3 linked regions of the Macaca fascicularis genome follow. The protein of the gene in region 3 interacts with the protein of the main gene of each other region in a biochemical or structural test. Links are inferred from orthologs where the notes say so. Each region holds a gene or a part of one and is shown on either strand. Other genes may lie near its edges.

Region 1 (5,734 bases), on a different chromosome or scaffold from region 3:
TTCTTACATAGGTAAACACATTTCACAGGGGTTTGTTGTACATATTATTTCATCATCCAGGTATTAAACCCAGTACCCAGTGCTTTTCTTTTCTGCTCCTCTCCCTCCTCCCACCCTCCAACCTTCAAGTAGACCTGAGTCTCCGTTGTTTCCTTCTTTGTGCTTGTAAGATCTTATCACTTAGCTCCTACTTGTAAGTGAGAACATGCAGTATATGGTTTTCTGTTCCTGCATTAGTTTGCTAAAGGTGATTGCCTCCAGCTCCATTCATGTTTCCACAAAATATGTGAGCTCATTCTTTTTTTATAGCTGCATAATATTCCATGGTGTACCTGTACCACACTTTCTTTAATCTATCGTTGATGGGCATTTACGTTGATTCCATGTTTTTGCTATTGTGAATGGTGCTGTGATGAACATTTGTGTGCATGTGTCTTTGTGGTAGATGATTTATATTCCTCTGAGTATAAACCCAGTAATGAGATTATTGGGTGAAATGGTAGTTCTGTTTTTAGCTCTTTGAGGAATTGCCGCACTGTGGTTGAACTGATTTACACTCCCACCAACAGTGTATAAGTGTTCCCTTTTTCCTACGACCTTGTTGACATCTGCTATTTTTTGATGTTTTAATAATAGTCATTTTGACTGGTGTGAGATGGTATTTCATTGTGGTTTTGATGTGCATTCTCTAATGATCAATGATATTGAGCTTTCTTCATATGCTTGTTGGCTGCATATATGTCTTCTTTTGAAAAGTGTCTGTTCATGTCCTTTTCCCACTTTGTAATGGTGTTGTTTTTCTCTTGTAAATTTGTTTAAGCTCCTTATAGATGCTGGATATTAGACCTTTTTCAGATGCATAGTTTGCAAATATTTTCTCCCATTGTGTAGGCTGTCTGTGTACTCTGTTGATAGTTTCTTTTGCTGTGCAGAAGCTCTTAAGTTTAATTAGATCTCACTTGTCAATTTTTGCTTTCATTGTGATTGCTTTTGGTATCTTTGTCATGAAGTCTTTGTCTGTTTCCATGTCCAGGATAGTATTGCCTAGGTTGTCTTCCAGGGTTTTTATGGTTTGGGGTTTTACATTTAAGTCTCTAATCCATCTTGTGTTGATTTTTGTATATGGTATAAAGAAGGGGTCCAGCTTCAGTCTTCTGCATATGGCTAGCCAGTTATCCCAGCACCATTCATTGAATAGAGAGTCTTTTCCCCTATTGCTTATTTTTTCAGCTTTGTTGAAGATTAGATGGTTGTAGATGTACGGCCTTATTTCTGCAGTCTCCATTCTGTTTCCCTGGTCTCTGTGTCTGTTTTTGTATCAGTACTATACTGTTTTGGTTACTGCAGACCTGTAGTATAGTTTGAAGTGGGGCAGTATGATGCCTCCAGCTTTGTTCCTTTTGCTTAGGATTACCTTGGCTATTCAGGTTCTTTCTTGGTTCCATATAAATTTTGAAATAGTTTTTTTCTAGCTCTGTGAAGAATGTCATTGGTAGTTTGTAGGACTAGCATTAAATATGTAAATTGCTTTGGGCAGCATAGCCATTTTAATGATATTGATTCTTCCTATCCATGAACATGGGATGCTTTTCCATTTGTGTCTTCTCTGATTTCTTTGAGCAGTGTCTTGTAATTCTCATTGTAGAGATCTTTCACCTTCCTGGTTAGCTATATTCCTAGGTATTTCATTCTTTTTGTGGCAATTGTGAAGGAGATTGTCTTCCTGATTTGGCTCTTGGCTTGGCTGTTGTTGGTGTATAGAAATTTAGTAATCTTTGTATGTTGATTTTGTATATTGCAACTTTGCTGAAGTTGTTTATCAGCTGAAGGAGATTTTGAGCTGAGACTATGGGGCTTTTTAGATATAGAATCATGTGTCTGCAAGCAGGGATAGTTTGACTTCCTCTCTTCCTATATGAATGCCCTTTATTTCTTTCTCTTGCCTGACTGCTCTAGCTAAAGTGAGATTATTATTATTAAATTATTTGAAAGTATCACTAAACACAGAGAGTATTATTAGACAATAATTCTATTTTAAGCTTATATGTACAAATGTTATTTATACTCTTTCAAAAATGTTTTATGCTGAAAAAACACAATACAGAAGTTTCTGACTTTAATTATCTGTGTGCTGCTTGAGAGCAAAAAAAAGATACTGGTAAGATTGTGGGTCTGAAACCAAAAAAAGTAAGTTCTGTGGTATCTACTTCTCAAATTATTTAATTTAATGTAAGCTGAGGGCTTGTAAGGCTAATATTTCTGTCACAGACTTTAAATACATCTAGACTGACAATGGCCTCAGGGACTTTGTACATTCAAATATAGAAGAAAAAAGCTTTTTTTAAATGTTAGCTGCACTGACATGGAGACTTGATAAAAACTTAATGTGGCCGGGCGCGGTGGCTCAAGCCTGTAATCCCAGCACTTTGGGAGGCCGAGACGGGCGGATCACGAGGTCAGGAGATCGAGACCATCCTGGCTAACACAATGAAACCCCGTCTCTACTAAAAAATACAAAAAAATTAGCCGGGCGTGGTGGCGGCGCCTGTAGTCCCAGCTACTCGGGAGGCTGAGGCAGGAGAATGGCGGGAACCCGGGAGGCGGAGCTTGCAGTGAGCCGAGATCGCGCCACTGCACTCCAGCCTGGGCGACAGAGCGAGACTCGGCCTCAAAAAAAAAAAAAAAAAAAAACACCTTAATGTGTTGTTTTAAACATAACACAAGCAGAAAAAGAAATACAAATAATGGAACAGCAATAAAACTCCATCTTTACACTTATGTGCTTATTTCCGATTATAGCATACATTCAAATTAAACCACACACTAAATATATACCCAAGGTTACTTTTTAAACGTGAAGTTAAATGCATTAAAAAAGAATGATGGACTTTACCTCCTTCTCTTTGAACTATGTGATAGAGATGGACATTGTGTAGGATACGTTCCAGATCTTGGTCTGTACAACCTTTATCATGCATATCATCCACTGAATCAGGGTAAATGACTTGATCTCGAAGACTTCCAAGAGACATATATGGCCTGTAAAACGCCAAGCACACAAGAATCCTAGTGGAAAGTCATGATAACTTACTCAGTGTGACATCTTGGTAGTCTGAAAACATCAGTGAAGACTTTAAACACTACATTTCCAGGATGATATTTGTTAACCTGGTGATGAGTACTTCTCCCTCAGGCACTGCTAAACGATACCATTATGTTTACATAAAAACTTACTGGCACATGGACACAAGAAAAGCTTCTCTAAGAAATCATCTGACATTTCTTTTTTCTAAAAAATTTTATTTTATTTTATATTTTGTAGAGACAGGGTCTTGATATGTTTCCCCAAGCTAGTCTCAAACACCTGCCTCAAGTGGTTCCTCCTAACTTGGCCTCGCAAAGCACTGGGATTACAGTTGTAAGCCACAGAACCCAGCCACATTTAACATTTTCAGCAGAAAAATACTGTATATACTTTGTTTCACTGCATTTGATAAATATTGCTTCTGTAATTCATCTATAATTATTTGGGTTACATATTATGCAATTTGGGTTTTGACCCAGCAATGTGAACAAACAAAACAAAAAAATGTAATTCATAGTAAGAAAAACACAAATTAAAACTACATTGAGTTTCTTGCTTTTCAGATTGGCAAAAATTCGACAACTTGATAACTCACTCCACTGGCAGGCCTGTGGGTAAAGGAGTGTTCTCATACTACAGTGAAAATGCAGAATCATACAACTCTTACAGAGGGGATTTGGCAAACTGACAGAGCATTTGCCCTTTGACCCACTTCTTGGAATTTACTCTGAAAATATACTTCTAAAAATACAAAAAAAGATGCATGCAGTTATTCATTACAACTTATTTGTAATAGCAAAATATTGAAATGCAACATAAATACCCATACAAAGAAGACTGACGGAATAAACTATAGTACATCCACTATGCAGCTATAAAAAAAAGGATGAGGAAAACCTCTATAAACTGATATGAAGTGATTTCTATGATATATTGTTAAGTTGAAAAGCAAAATGCAAAAGTAGACTTATAGCAGGGTTTCTCAACAACGGCACTTTGGCTTATTGAACCAGATAATTGTTTGTTGTCGAGGGCTACCCTATGTATAGTAGGATGTTTAGCATTATACCTGATGTCTACCCACTAGATGTCAGTAGCACCCCTTCCTGTAGTGAACAAAAATAATTGTCTCCAGATACTGCCAAATATCTCTGGGGGACAAAATCTTCCCAGTTGAGAACCACTTCTATGTAAAAAGAAAGCAAAATGAAGTATAGACATACCCATTTATATTTAAAAAAGGAAACACAGGAAGAGTAAACCTGAAACTAGTGAAGTTGGTTAGCTACAGGAGGTGGGAGGAACAAGGTGGAATGGACAGGCAGGAAAAGGCCTAAGTATCCTTTCTATTAATAAAGTTTTTACTTTTGGAATCCCTCAAAGTGTTACTATTCAATAAACAAACAAAATTAAACCAACAAGAATGAAGGAAGAAACCTTAAAATTGAATACAAACAGAAACAATTTAACTGAACAGTATATCCAAAGGATAAAGTAACCACACAGCGAGGGGGATGGAGGTGGGGATGAATTAATCCATGTGACTTTTGAACTTGGCTACATAATTTCAGTCAAAGACAGAAAGAATCACGTGGAAATCTTGAAGCTTACTTGCAAATTTATTTTTGGTAATGATATAGGGGTAGCAATTCTGAAACCATTTTATGTGTATTGTAGGATTGGTTAAGTAAATAAATGGTTTGGTAATGTTAGGAGCAAGGGTTCTCACTGTGGAAGAAGAAAGACACAAACATACTATGTGGGAAGGCAAGAGAAAAACTCTACTATTTAATTTGAATTTGAGTATCAGTATGAATTTATGATTTTTAATAAAAAAATTCTAGTCCTATCTACATCTGAAACATTCTAATATTATCCTTTGTGAAGCACACATCATTTCAGCAATGCAATAAATTCAATTGTGGACCCAAAAAGATCCATCTTAATCCAGACCCCCCCCCCACATATCTGTAAATGAAACCTTATTTAGAAACAGAGTCTTTGCAGATTTAATTAAAGTTCTTGAGACAAGATCATCCTGGATTAACCAGATGAGCCCTAAATCCAATAAATGCCCTTATCAAATGAGAAGAAACCCAGGAAAGAAAAGAAAGCCACATGGAGACAGAGATGGAAGTTATGGTGCCACAAACCAAGGAATGCTTGGCACCACCAGAAACTGGAAAAGAGGCAGGAAATAATTCTTTCCAAGAGCCTTCAGAGGGTGTCGATTGCCAATACTTTGACTTCTGGTATTCAGGAATGTGAGAAAATAAATTTCTGTTGTTGAAACCGGCAAGTGTTCGGTAATTTGTAGCCCTTAGAAACTAATACAAGTAGTATTTCTGTAAAAAGTTCATAACCTGAATCACATCATGCAGAAACTATCAGACAAACCTAAATTGAGGTATTCTCTTAAAAAAAAAAAAAAGCAGTAGTCTTGCACTCTTTCAAAATATCAATGTCATAAAAAATAAAGAAATGCTGAGAAACTCTTCTGAATAAAGCAAACTGTAATAAATAGACATGGCAACTACATGCAGTGCAAGACAATGCATCGGGAAAAACAAGTTGCTCTAAAGTACAGTGTTATGACAATTGCCAAAATTTGAATATGGACTGTACTTTAGATATTAATATTATATCAAT
Region 2 (4,756 bases), on a different chromosome or scaffold from region 3:
CCACACCCACCCAATCCACTGCCCTGTTTTGGATCTGTGTGGGGTGTGTGCCCGGGCGGCGACGTGAGCGTGTGGGTGCGTGTGAGCGTGGCATGTGGACACTGCCTGGGAGGCGCAGAGTATCTTGGGAGAGGCAGGGCCAGCCCTTCCCTCTATGGACACCCAGCTTTCCCACAGGCCCTATATGTCTGTGGGCTCCCTGCGTGACCAGGTGATCTACCCGGACTCAGTGGCGGACATGCGAAGGAAGGGCTACTCAGAGCAGGACCTGGAAGCCATCCTGGACATCGTGCATCTGCACCACATCCTGCAGCGGGAGGGAGGTAGGAGGCCTGGGGCTGGCAGCCGCCTTTTGTCTCACTGTGGCCTCTCCCTTGGCCTCCAGGGAGTGAAGATTATCTCAACATCCAGGAGTCTAAAGTGCCAGGTGCCACAGGGGCGGGACAGAGGATGCTGCCTCTAAGGCCTGCCTACCAGGGAGGACCAGCACGACACAGATGGCCCCAGGTGGCATGGGTGCTCTAGAGAAGGGGGCACCTAACAGGGATGTGCACCTCATTGGGGGACCCAGGATACCCTCTCCCAGAGAAAAGAGGTCTGAGCTGAGCCCTGCAGAATGCTGAGCGGTTACCCTGTCGGGGAGCCAGGGACAGCAGGGCGGAGTGTGGCCCACAGGCTTGGTGGCGCGAGAGGCTAGCTCACAGAGTCCCCTCCGGACCAGACGGGAGCCTAGGCTTTCCCTGAGCAGGATCAGACGCTCTTGGAAGGACCATGGGGCGGTGGGCAGGGGCAGGCACATGTGTGCAGTGATGGCTACTGTCCGGAGGTTTGTGCAGACGCTTGGAGGGGGCTGGGGCCAGCAGAGTCGGGCGGATTCTGAGATGAGTTCACGGAAAAGGAGGCCAGACTAAGCTGTTGTCTTGTCCTGGGCTTATCAAGGAATGCTGCTTGTTCACAGTGTCCATCGTGCTGGGAGAGCAGAGGAGGAGAGGGGGGTGCAGCTGCAGGGACATGGTAGGAGTGTTTAGTTCTCTCTTTGAATTCTGATCCTCTGGGTTCAGCTTCCAGCCCCCAGTGCTGGGTGCAAGATTGCCCTGGGCAAGGGCCTCGCCTTGCTGGGGCTCCCCTTCACGGTTCAAGGGCACAGGCACCAAGCCCTGCCTTGGTGGCAACATGAGAAGAAGTGGCTCCTGCAGGAAATGGCTGGGGTGTTGTCACCTGCCTGTGGAGGAAGCGGGGACACAGGTGGCGATGGCAGTGGAGCAGCCCCTGGCGCGGCCCTGCTTCTTGCTCCTGCTGCCCTCCGCCTGGGAGCAGTGGCCCCTCCCGCCTCTGTGGCAGCCTGAATGCCTAGGGCCTGTGGCCGGCCAGCATGAGCCGTTAGGATGGAGTTGAGCTGCGAGGAACAGAACCGGCCTCCCTGCAGTACTGGCTAAGATCGTTTGTGAGTTTATTCTCCTGAGCTGTTAGGTCCCAAGAGAGCCAGGCCACGGTTGCCGGGGCTGGCCCTGCTCTGTGAAGGTCCCAGGGCTCTAGGCTTTTCTACCAGGTCACTCTGCTGTGTGTGGCCTCCATTTCCAAAGTCACCTCATGATACAGGGGGGCTGCTGCAGCCCTCACATCATGTCCCAGGCTGTAGGATGGAGGAAGTAGAAGGGAAGGGGCAAAAGGTATGTGCCTTCTATCTTTTAAGGAAGGTTCCAGAAGCCACCATATTGAATACTTACAGTTACATCTCATTGGCCACAACTTAGTCTCATGCTCACACCTCACCACAAGGCCACCTGGGAAGCGTAATCTCTATTCTGGGTGGCCATACACCCTGTCGCCACTTCCAGTCCTGGGCCGCAGGGGAAGACAGCATGCCCGAGAATACGGGAGGGGCCACTTCTGCCACAGTGCCCCGGCCCAGTGGAGCAGCCAACTCACCTGCTTGTTCAAGCAGCCCACTCGAGCCTTGCCAAAGTGCTGGCACAGGGCAGTGACAGGAGGCCCAACCCCTGTGGGTGGTGACAAGCCCCTGGTCTGGGGAGAGCACTGTGGCAGCTCTGGGGCTCTGTGCCAGGGAATTGTGTGGGTGCCCTGGGGCTGCCATAAACCGCAGGGGTGGGTCGTCTCCTGCATCCAGCAGCCTGAGATCCAGGTGCCAGCAGGGTGGACTCCTTCTGGGTGTCGTGACAGAAGGATGTGTTCCAGGCCTCTGTCCTTGGCTCGCAGATAGCCCACTTCTCCCTGTATATCTTCACCTCATGTTCCCTCTATGCACGTCCTCTGCCCGCATACCCCCTTTTTATGAGGACATAGTCATATTGAATTAGAGTCTACTCTGATGACCTCATCTTAGTGTGATCACCTCCATGAAGGCCCTGTCTCCAAATAAGGTCACACTGAAGTGCTGGGGCTGGGACTCCACCATATCTCTTCTAGGAGAAGGCATGATTCCAGTCCCCACTCCTCCATGATTAATGCCTGTCATCACAGCCAGCTCATTCCCACAGCTCCCCCAGCTCCCCGGCCGGCCCCCAGGGCTGGGTGCTGGTGGAACTGAGCCAAGACCCTTGCCCCCGCCCAGGTTGGGAGGCTATGTGTGACTGGAAGGACGTCCTGTCGGGTGGCGAGAAGCAAAGAATCGGCATGGCCCGCATGTTCTACCACAGGTGAGCACTCTGGGCTCCCTGGGGTCCCCTGGAAGGGGAAGTAGCAGCCATGGGGAGGCCTGGGCTCAGTGGAGCCTGAGCTGGGCTGAGGTACTGGGCCCTGGAGGGTGCACAGACTCTCCTCTCGGCCCGGACCCCCAGGCCCAAGTACGCCCTCCTGGATGAATGCACCAGTGCCGTGAGCATCGATGTGGAAGGCAAGATCTTCCAGGCAGCCAAGGACGCGGGCATCGCCCTGCTCTCCATCACCCACCGGCCCTCCTTGTGGTAGGTGCCCTCTCTCCCTGTCTGGGGCCGGTGGGAGTGGCAGCCTGAGGGGAGGACGTGGCCTGGTGAGCCCAGCAGCAGCAGGCGGCTCTCATCAGCAGCCCTCGTGCCGTGCCCCTGACTCTGTCCCTCTCCTGGCCAGGAAGTACCACACACACTTGCTACAGTTCGACGGGGAGGGTGGCTGGAAGTTCGAGAAGCTGGACTCGGCTGCTCGCCTGAGCCTGACAGAGGAGAAGCAGCGGCTGGAGCAGCAGCTGGCAGGCATTCCCAAGATGCAGCGGCGCCTCCAAGAGCTCTGCCAGATCCTGGGCGAGGCCATGGCCCCAGCACAGGTGCCGGCACCTAGCCCACAAGACCCTGGCGGCCTCCAGGGTGCCTCCACCTGACTCGGCCTTCCCCGGCCCCTGCCCCGCCCCCAAGCTCAGATCATATGAAGGAGACAGCAGCACCCACCTGCGCATGCGCCCTGCCCCTGCATGCCTGGCCCCTCCTAGAAGACCCTTCCCGCCCTTGGGAAAGTAGATGTGGAGGGTGACGCCCTGCATCACCCCCACCCTGTCCCTCCCACTCCCTGGGGGGGCTGTTCCACAGTGACTGGGCCCTGTCCAGGGTAGTGAGTCTCCTACTTTGCTCCGCGGAGGAAGCTGGGGCACGGGGGCCCAGTGCTGGCCACAGCAGCGCAGCCGGGCCCCAGGAGCCACTCAGGCCACAGCCCCTGGTGCTGCAGGTGGCCTCCCTCCGGAGACTCGAGTCCCCATGATTCCCTCCTCGTCAGTCTCTCAAAGACCCCATGATCTATCCCCTGAGGGTGGCCAGCCAAGGCTTCTGTCGCATGGGATGCCATAAAAGCCACCCAGTGGGACCCATGGTCACACAGAGCCCCTCACCTGCATCCTCTCCCCCACGAGAGCCCTGAAGAGCCCACGGGAGAGGGACGCACAGCACTGCCTGCCAAGCGAGAATGTAGCCGCAGCCCCCTCGGCCCCTCACCTCTTCTTTCTACAGCCTAATTTATTGGATTCCCTATTCGTAGCCATCTCCATGGCCAATGTGACTACCCTGCCAGCAGCGGGGGTGGCCCAGCCTCTGAGTCCCATGGGGCCCTGGCTCCCACCGGTGCCAAACCCAGCCCCTGTGGCCGTCACCCCGCCAGCCTACACTGCCAGCCGCCACCGGGGCACACGGGCCTCTGCTTGCCAGCCGGGAGTGCGGACACCATGTTCCCAGCTCAGTGCCAAAGAGGGGTCACCAGGGGGAGCTGTCTATAGAGCCAGCGCCTGCCCGAGAGACCCCACCGCCACCGTGTGCCTTTCCCAGGCCCTCAGCCCTCGGGCCGGGCGCCACCCCCAGTCCCCCCAGTAAAAGCCTCCATTGGCAAATGCAGTCCTTCCTCCCTGCCTCGGAGTCTGATGGTGTCTGCTGCGGGTCTCGGGGAGAGATGGAGGAGAGGGAGTGGGTTGCCTGTGGGGGAAAGAGTGAGTTTGGGAAAGGAGTGGGCCTGACCCCCAAGCCCTTCTGCGGGGGAAGGTCACCAGAAGACACCGTCCAGCATGTCCTCCGCCAAGCCTCACACCAATGCTCTTAGGGTTCCCATGATGGTGGCGGGGCAGAACCTGCAACAACATTGCACAGAAATACTGGCTGAGCCCAAATAGGACTAGGGGAGGGGATCATGCTGGTCCCTGTGGGAGGAGCACGAAGGCAAGAGAAGGGATGTCTAAGCTGCCACACAGGGTGCTGCTGGCTCTTCTAGGGAGAAGGGGCCATTTGTGCAGGGACCTGGGGGGAACCAGGAGCACAGCACCGGGTGTTCGTGCTGCATGCAGGGT
Region 3 (6,295 bases):
CTTATACCCCAAAAGTTATACCCCTTATACCCCAACATACAGTGTGACAGCTTTATTCTCTCAGAGACACAACTCTCCCCACCCCCCAACTCTCCCCGCCTCAAATAAATAAAGGAAAAAAGCAGACTCAAGTTACTCTTTCTGCAGGCTCTGAGTAGACAAAATAGCCCACATGAGTGGATGTGATGGAAAATGAAGAGAAAAAGCAGAAATGGAAGTTCACAAACCTTTTCTGTGATCTCCTTCAGTGATGGGTACAGCACATCCTTGGAGAGTAGGTTCTGCATAATACTCTGCATGATGGGGAGGATGTTCCCTTCCCCATCCCCTTCGTCCATGCCTAGCCCCTCCATGGCCTTGGTCAGCTCTTCATCCGACATGCCAGAGTTCTAGATAGGACAAGTAAGAGGTGAGCAGGTATACCACCTTCTTGGGATGCTCACACTCTGTCAGGTGGGAAAGATAAACTACCTAAACTTGCCTGTAACAAAACAAGACAGGAACAGACTTGGGATGATACTCAAAGCATCTGTCTTTTGAGACTCTGCTGCAGAAGTGTCTGAGAGTGGACCCCTTGTGGGACCCTACTACTTTCTCCTCACCTGAAGGTCAGTGGCATTTTTGGCTAATCCACTTAGTGTCTCCTTTAGGCAAGAAGTGAATTCTTGTTGGGAGGTCATATCACTGCCTAGGAGAGATTTAAAAAGCCAGCGTCATTTAGGAATTTGTTTCCTTGCCTAGACTGAACTGGTTACCAGCTTGGATATGAAGCATTTACTAGTGAATCATTATCACTCCCCATCTGGGAAAACTGCGGTTATCCTGATAGTCTTTTCATACATCTATTTAATACACGGACTCTATGTCAGTTTATTCTCCATGATGATACCCACAATAACACTGTGACCTTTCAAATGGTCAGTTTTGAATAATCTTTTCTATTACTTTCTAACCTATCTCGCCCCTTTTCATTAAGAGGGATTTTCGGCCGGGCGCGGTGGCTCAAGCCTGTAATCCCAGCACTTTGGGAGGCCGAGGCGGGTGGATCACGAGGTCAAGAGATCGAGACCATCCTGGCTAACATGGTGAAACCCCGTCTCTACTAAAAATACAAAAAACTAGCCGGGCGTGGTGGCGGGCGCCTGTAGTCTCAGCTACTTGGGAGGCTGAGGCGGGAGAATGGCGTGAACCCGGGAGGCGGAGCTTGCAGTGAGCCGAGATCACGCCACTGCACTCCAGCCTGGGAGACACAGCGAGACTCCGTCTCAAAAAAAAAAAAAAAAAAAAAAAAAAAGAGGGATTTCCACCCCTTCTCTCATTGCCTTTACCCATTCCATGGCTGTGACATCATGATTACTATCAACTTCACTAAGAATTCTGGTGTTTTCAGGCAACAAAGACTTAAGAATCTGTTCAGATATTTCCATGTATCTAAGGTCTCCTCACCCACTCTCCCCGCAGCCTCCGAGAGCTTTTGGAACTGCTCCACCAGGTGGGGCTCTTCCTCAGCCAACTCCTTCATTGCCTTCTCGAACTCTGCAGTGGCTTGAGAAGCCAGTTCACTGTCGAATAGTTCCTGGAAAAACTTCTCTTGGGAAGCGAAGAGGGCATCCTGCGGGGGAAGGGTGGCTGAAATGCATCTCTTACTTAGAACTACACTGCACCTGGCCTCTGATAGAAGCCACAGGCAGTAGCTATGGGAAATGCACTTCCCTCCTACCCACTTCCACTGGACACTCTAACTACTGCTCCTAATGAGAATAGCAAAAAAGGTATCTAGTCTTTGAAAGAGGGTATGGGATGGCATACCAATCCAACCATTTAAACCTACTATTTTTTCAAGGAACTCTGAGATTCCTCCACTCAACCTCAAGTCCTTATTTCACAAGGACTGAGGCTGGCAAGAGCACTCACCAATGTGAGGCCAAGGTACCCTCCCCCATTCCCCTCTGGCCCATAGGGGCCTGCCCAACCTCTGCTCAGAGCTGCATGCCCATCCCCTCCCCATCCCTTCAGGGGGTGGAATTTATACTTTGGCAGTGTCTCCTGGCGATCTCTTCTGGGGCCCCGAAGCATCAGGGGCCGTGGTGGTAGAAGGGGGTGCTGGGGAGGGTTTGGCTTTATCGAAATCATCAAGAGCACCTTCAGAGACAAGAGACATGGTGTGTGTGTTGGCGACAGATGAGGATGCAAGCAAGGCTGGGTGGTTTCTGGGCAAAGCATTACGAATATGATTTTTCAAATTGCCAACTTTCCTCAATTTTCCGCCTTGAGGCCCCCACCTCCCCAGACCACCCTCAATGAGCCTCCTACTTCCTTCCAGATTACCTAATTTATTGTGAGCAAAGGCAAGAAATCCCTTACGGTGGAACAAGTATCCATCTCAGAGCTGGGAGGAGAGGATTAAAAATTTCTGCAGAGACATCTCCATCTATAGTGTCTCCCTTGCCACAACCTAATGATTCCCTAGAAATCCCATACAAATAAATACCCAACAGGAGTAGAGAACACAGATGTCCTCATCCCTCTGAACTCACTCTGGAGCTCTAAAAGGAATAACTTGGTGAGAAGGCACATGACATCCCACCCAGCTTCTTGTTGGTACTGGTACCAGCACAGACTGAGGGACCACATACTACATTCCATGGTAAGGCATTAAACTATCTTCTCTTATTCTCCAGTTTAGTGCTCTCCCACAACCTCCTAGAGCTCCTTTTGGTCTGATCTTTGCAGATAACCGTAGGCTAATTTACAGTCACTTGGCACTCCTCAGCGTTTCTGTTCATTCTTCTGCCTGCCCACATCTCTGTGATCGAGCAAGAGATTACAAATTCACCTCTGCCCTGAAAAGCCTGTGTCCTCACCACCATTCTGCTTGCCAGGCCCAGGGAGAGAGCACTGGCCCCACTCTGGGCAGGAAGCCAACAGGGGAGTGGACAGTAATGCTAAGAAAACATCCACCGTCTTTCAGGAGGGTGAACTGCTTTCCCCTGAAATCGCCACATCCTCAGTTTCTCAAAATAAGGGAAAGGAGTCCGCTTGAGCTACTAACAAGATGAAAGAACTGTTAAGGGGCCTAACGAGAGAAAGAGAAAAGGACTACGAGGAGAAAAGTGTCTTTCATGTCAAGGAAGGCAGGACGAGGCGCAGCAGCATGGGCCACGAGCTTGCTAGGAGTTAATGTAAGCAATCAGTGAGTGCGTGGTTCGCTACCCAACAAGAACCAAATGCTGCTGCTGCTGCTGCTGAAGTCGGACTTTAAGAACTTAGTAACCTAAAGAAAGAGGAGTTTGGAGAGGTATCATGAAACGCCGTCCTGCGGAAACATCCACAATCTGGACCACTGGGGGACCCCAGGTGAGTTCCCCAGCTCCAGTCGCGGAGGTGGGGCAGGATGACCCAGAGATTTTTTGGGGGGCTGGCGGTCAGACTCTCCGCCCCCATTTAACCTTTGGAGATCCTCTCCCGCCCTGTCCCTAATACCTCAGGTTCACTTAACGCCCGGAATGGGTCCTCACAACTGCCCTCTTCGGGCCTTTCCCACTATGGGCTCTTACTTTCCAGAAGCTCCTCCAATTCCCTGTCTGCTTCTGCCCCGACACCACAGTCTTCCTCAGCGGCCGCCATCTTGCTACCTCCGACTTGCCGTAGGAGGCGGGACCCCTCGGCGCCGCCACGCCCTCCACCCCTTCGTTCCTGCCCTCTTCTGCCTCGGGCAACCAATGGTATTGTTGGCCAGTGCGGAACCGCCATTTTTAAAGGGCCAGGAAGCTTTGAGTTTCTGTTTTGGGTATTTTTCCCCTTTCGCCTGTGAAACACAGAATTAAGGATAAGATAGTGTTATTTTCTGCCTGGTTTTAGAGGCCCGGACTCCTTTCAACTTCCCAAATTACCTGGCGAAGCTCTTTCATTATTTCTTCCTGAGCTATGAGTAGGCTAGATTGAGACAAACTGCCTACAAATAACCAGAATCTATACATATATGATTGATATGACAATTATGGTACATAACATACTACTTTCTCTCACTTCTTTTGTTGAGACGGAGTCTCGCTCTGTCGCCTAGGCTGGAATGCAGTGGCGCTATCTTGGCTCACTGCAGCCTTGGCCTCCTGGGTTCAAGCGATTCTCCTGCCTCAGCCTCCCGTGTAGCTGGGATTACAGGCATGCACCACCACATCAGGCTAATTTTTGTATTTTTAGTAGAGACGGGGTTTTACCTTGTTGGCCAGTCTGGGTAGCCAGGCTGGTCTCGAACTACTGACCTCAGGTGATCCACCCACCTCAGCCTCCCAAAGTGCTGGGGATTACAGGCGTGAGCCACTGCGCCCGGCTTCACTTCATTATTTCATTCAAATGTTATCTTCTCTGAAACACTTTACTTGGCCATTCCTTTTCTTCTTAACACTGAACACTATCTGACATATTATCTACCGTGCTTGTTTATTCTCCGCTCCCCACCGTGCAGAATTTAAACACTATGAAGGCGAAGATTTTCGTCTGTTGTCTTCGCTGCTGTAAAGCCCAACTCCTAGGCTAGGGTTTAAAACTTAGTAGGCACTCATTGGCCACTCTTTGCTCTTGCAGTCCCTAATCAGGCACATCTGTCTGCCCAATCTAGTGGCATCTCTCATTTCCTATTCTCTATTAGAACTGTTTGATTAAAGGACACAGGGCCAGGAACTTAGAACTCAATGTTAGAAAGAGAGCATCTGGGACCTTGGACTGAGCAGGGCAATTAGAATGTAGTAGTTAGTAATAGACTTGCTTTCCCTGACCAATCTCCTTTTCTCCACACAGAACCCAACCTCCAACTGAGTGAACACCGGGGATGCTCAGATAGAGGTAACTCTAGACGTCCCTTTCCTCCTTTGGAATTGTTCTATTCAGATCTGTAAGAATGTAGCAACTGTTTCACATACAGATCTGTTTTAGCACTTGGAGAGCACCTATTATTTAGGTCTTGTTCTGGGCACAGCAAGGACAAAGAGATAAATCAGGACCACCCCCTGCTGTAAGGTAGCTAAGTGGAGGTGAGCCGCAGGTATGATGAGATATACACACAGTAAGTATGACACAAGGTAAGAATTTTAAATGAAAAAAATTCCTGTGTTAAGTCACCTCATCACTTTCATGCTTAGCTTCCCAAACACACATTTGAGTACTGCATCAAGCACCAGAAAGACTTACTATGTCTTTCACAGACAGGGCACAGACATGTAAAATCGTATCTGTGCAAAACCTGTTTCCTTCTGACCACAAGTAGTGTGTTTTGGGATAAAAATATTATGAACTGTAAGTTATAAAGCCTAAATTCCAGCCCTAATTCTGCCACTAAATCACTTTCTAAGTCCTTTACAATTCTAAACTTCTGTAATCAAATCCTTTCCTGATAAACTTGTTTCCCCAATACCTGCAACATAATTTATTCCAGGGTTTCTCATTCAAATTGCTTACATGTGGATCTCCAATATGGCTATAGGTATAACAAACACGTTAAAAAAAAAGAAAACTTGTCTATCAACAGGCATCTCTATTGGCTTTATTTTATTTTTTGAGACGAGTTTCACTGTCACCCAGGCTGGAGTGCAGTGGTTTAATTTTGGCTCACTACAGCCTCCATCTCCAGGGTTCAAGTGATTCTCCTGTCTTAGCCACCTGAGTAGCTGGGTCTACAGGCTTGCGCCACCATGCCCGGCTAATTTTTGTATTTTTAGTAGAGACAGGGTTTCACCATGTTGGCCAGGCTGGTCTTTAACTCCTGACCTCAAGTGATATGTCCACCTTGGCCTCTCAAAGTACTGGAATTACAGATGTGAGCCACTACACCTAGTCAATTGGCTTTAAACTAATGTAATATAAGCATGTTAATTAAAAGATAATAGATAATTAAAATGGAGTAAAAAACAAGCATGACTCTTTCTTTGCATTATTTCTTAAACTTGTTTCTGCTTTTCTATTTTTACTACTAATACTCCTAACATCTCATCTCAGTATTTACTGACCTACTACTGACTGCTCCTTCTGCCTTTCTAATGTATAGCGAATACTGTTGAATAACAGTATTTTATAGTACTTTCATATCACTCTGTCCTTAAAGATTTAATGGCTCTCCAGTTTATCAAATTCTAATTCTTGCCTGGGATTCACAATTATTTCACATACATCAATCTTGTTTCCCCAATTATGTAAGATTCAAGAGGCAGGAATTGTAAAGTTTTTCCATATCCCTCAGTTAGTAATGTTTTTGTGTGCAAAATTAATTTTGTAATTTAATTTGCAAATAATAAATAAA

The links. The genes of interacting proteins can lie anywhere in the genome.
Region 1: the proteins of PEX19 (region 3) and ABCD2 form a complex in vitro, tested with the Homo sapiens proteins (3 studies listed by BioGRID and IntAct, with this or other methods). The link is inferred for Macaca fascicularis from reciprocal best matches to the Homo sapiens genes PEX19 and ABCD2.
Region 2: the proteins of PEX19 (region 3) and ABCD1 form a complex in vitro, tested with the Homo sapiens proteins (3 studies listed by BioGRID and IntAct, with this or other methods). The link is inferred for Macaca fascicularis from reciprocal best matches to the Homo sapiens genes PEX19 and ABCD1.

The regions. Positions count from the first base shown.
Region 1 is NC_088385.1:46,046,610-46,052,343, forward strand, and holds part of ABCD2 (ATP-binding cassette sub-family D member 2), read right to left. Parts: intron 3,040-5,734; coding exon 2,894-3,039; intron 1-2,893.
Region 2 is NC_088395.1:159,799,327-159,804,082, forward strand, and holds part of ABCD1 (ATP-binding cassette sub-family D member 1), read left to right. Parts: intron 1-177; coding exon 178-323; intron 324-2,572; coding exon 2,573-2,657; intron 2,658-2,798; coding exon 2,799-2,924; intron 2,925-3,066; coding exon 3,067-3,259; coding exon of another isoform or gene 3,260-3,313; exon of another isoform or gene 3,314-3,960; coding exon of another isoform or gene 3,961-3,981; exon of another isoform or gene 3,982-4,310; intron 4,311-4,756. UniProt on the Homo sapiens protein: ATP-dependent transporter of the ATP-binding cassette (ABC) family involved in the transport of very long chain fatty acid (VLCFA)-CoA from the cytosol to the peroxisome lumen.
Region 3 is NC_088375.1:100,772,811-100,779,105, reverse strand, and holds the start of PEX19 (peroxisomal biogenesis factor 19), read right to left. Parts: upstream 3,640-6,295; 5' UTR 3,628-3,639; coding exon 3,558-3,627; intron 2,143-3,557; coding exon 2,033-2,142; intron 1,613-2,032; coding exon 1,447-1,612; intron 689-1,446; coding exon 603-688; intron 390-602; coding exon 228-389; intron 1-227. UniProt on the Homo sapiens protein: Necessary for early peroxisomal biogenesis. Acts both as a cytosolic chaperone and as an import receptor for peroxisomal membrane proteins (PMPs).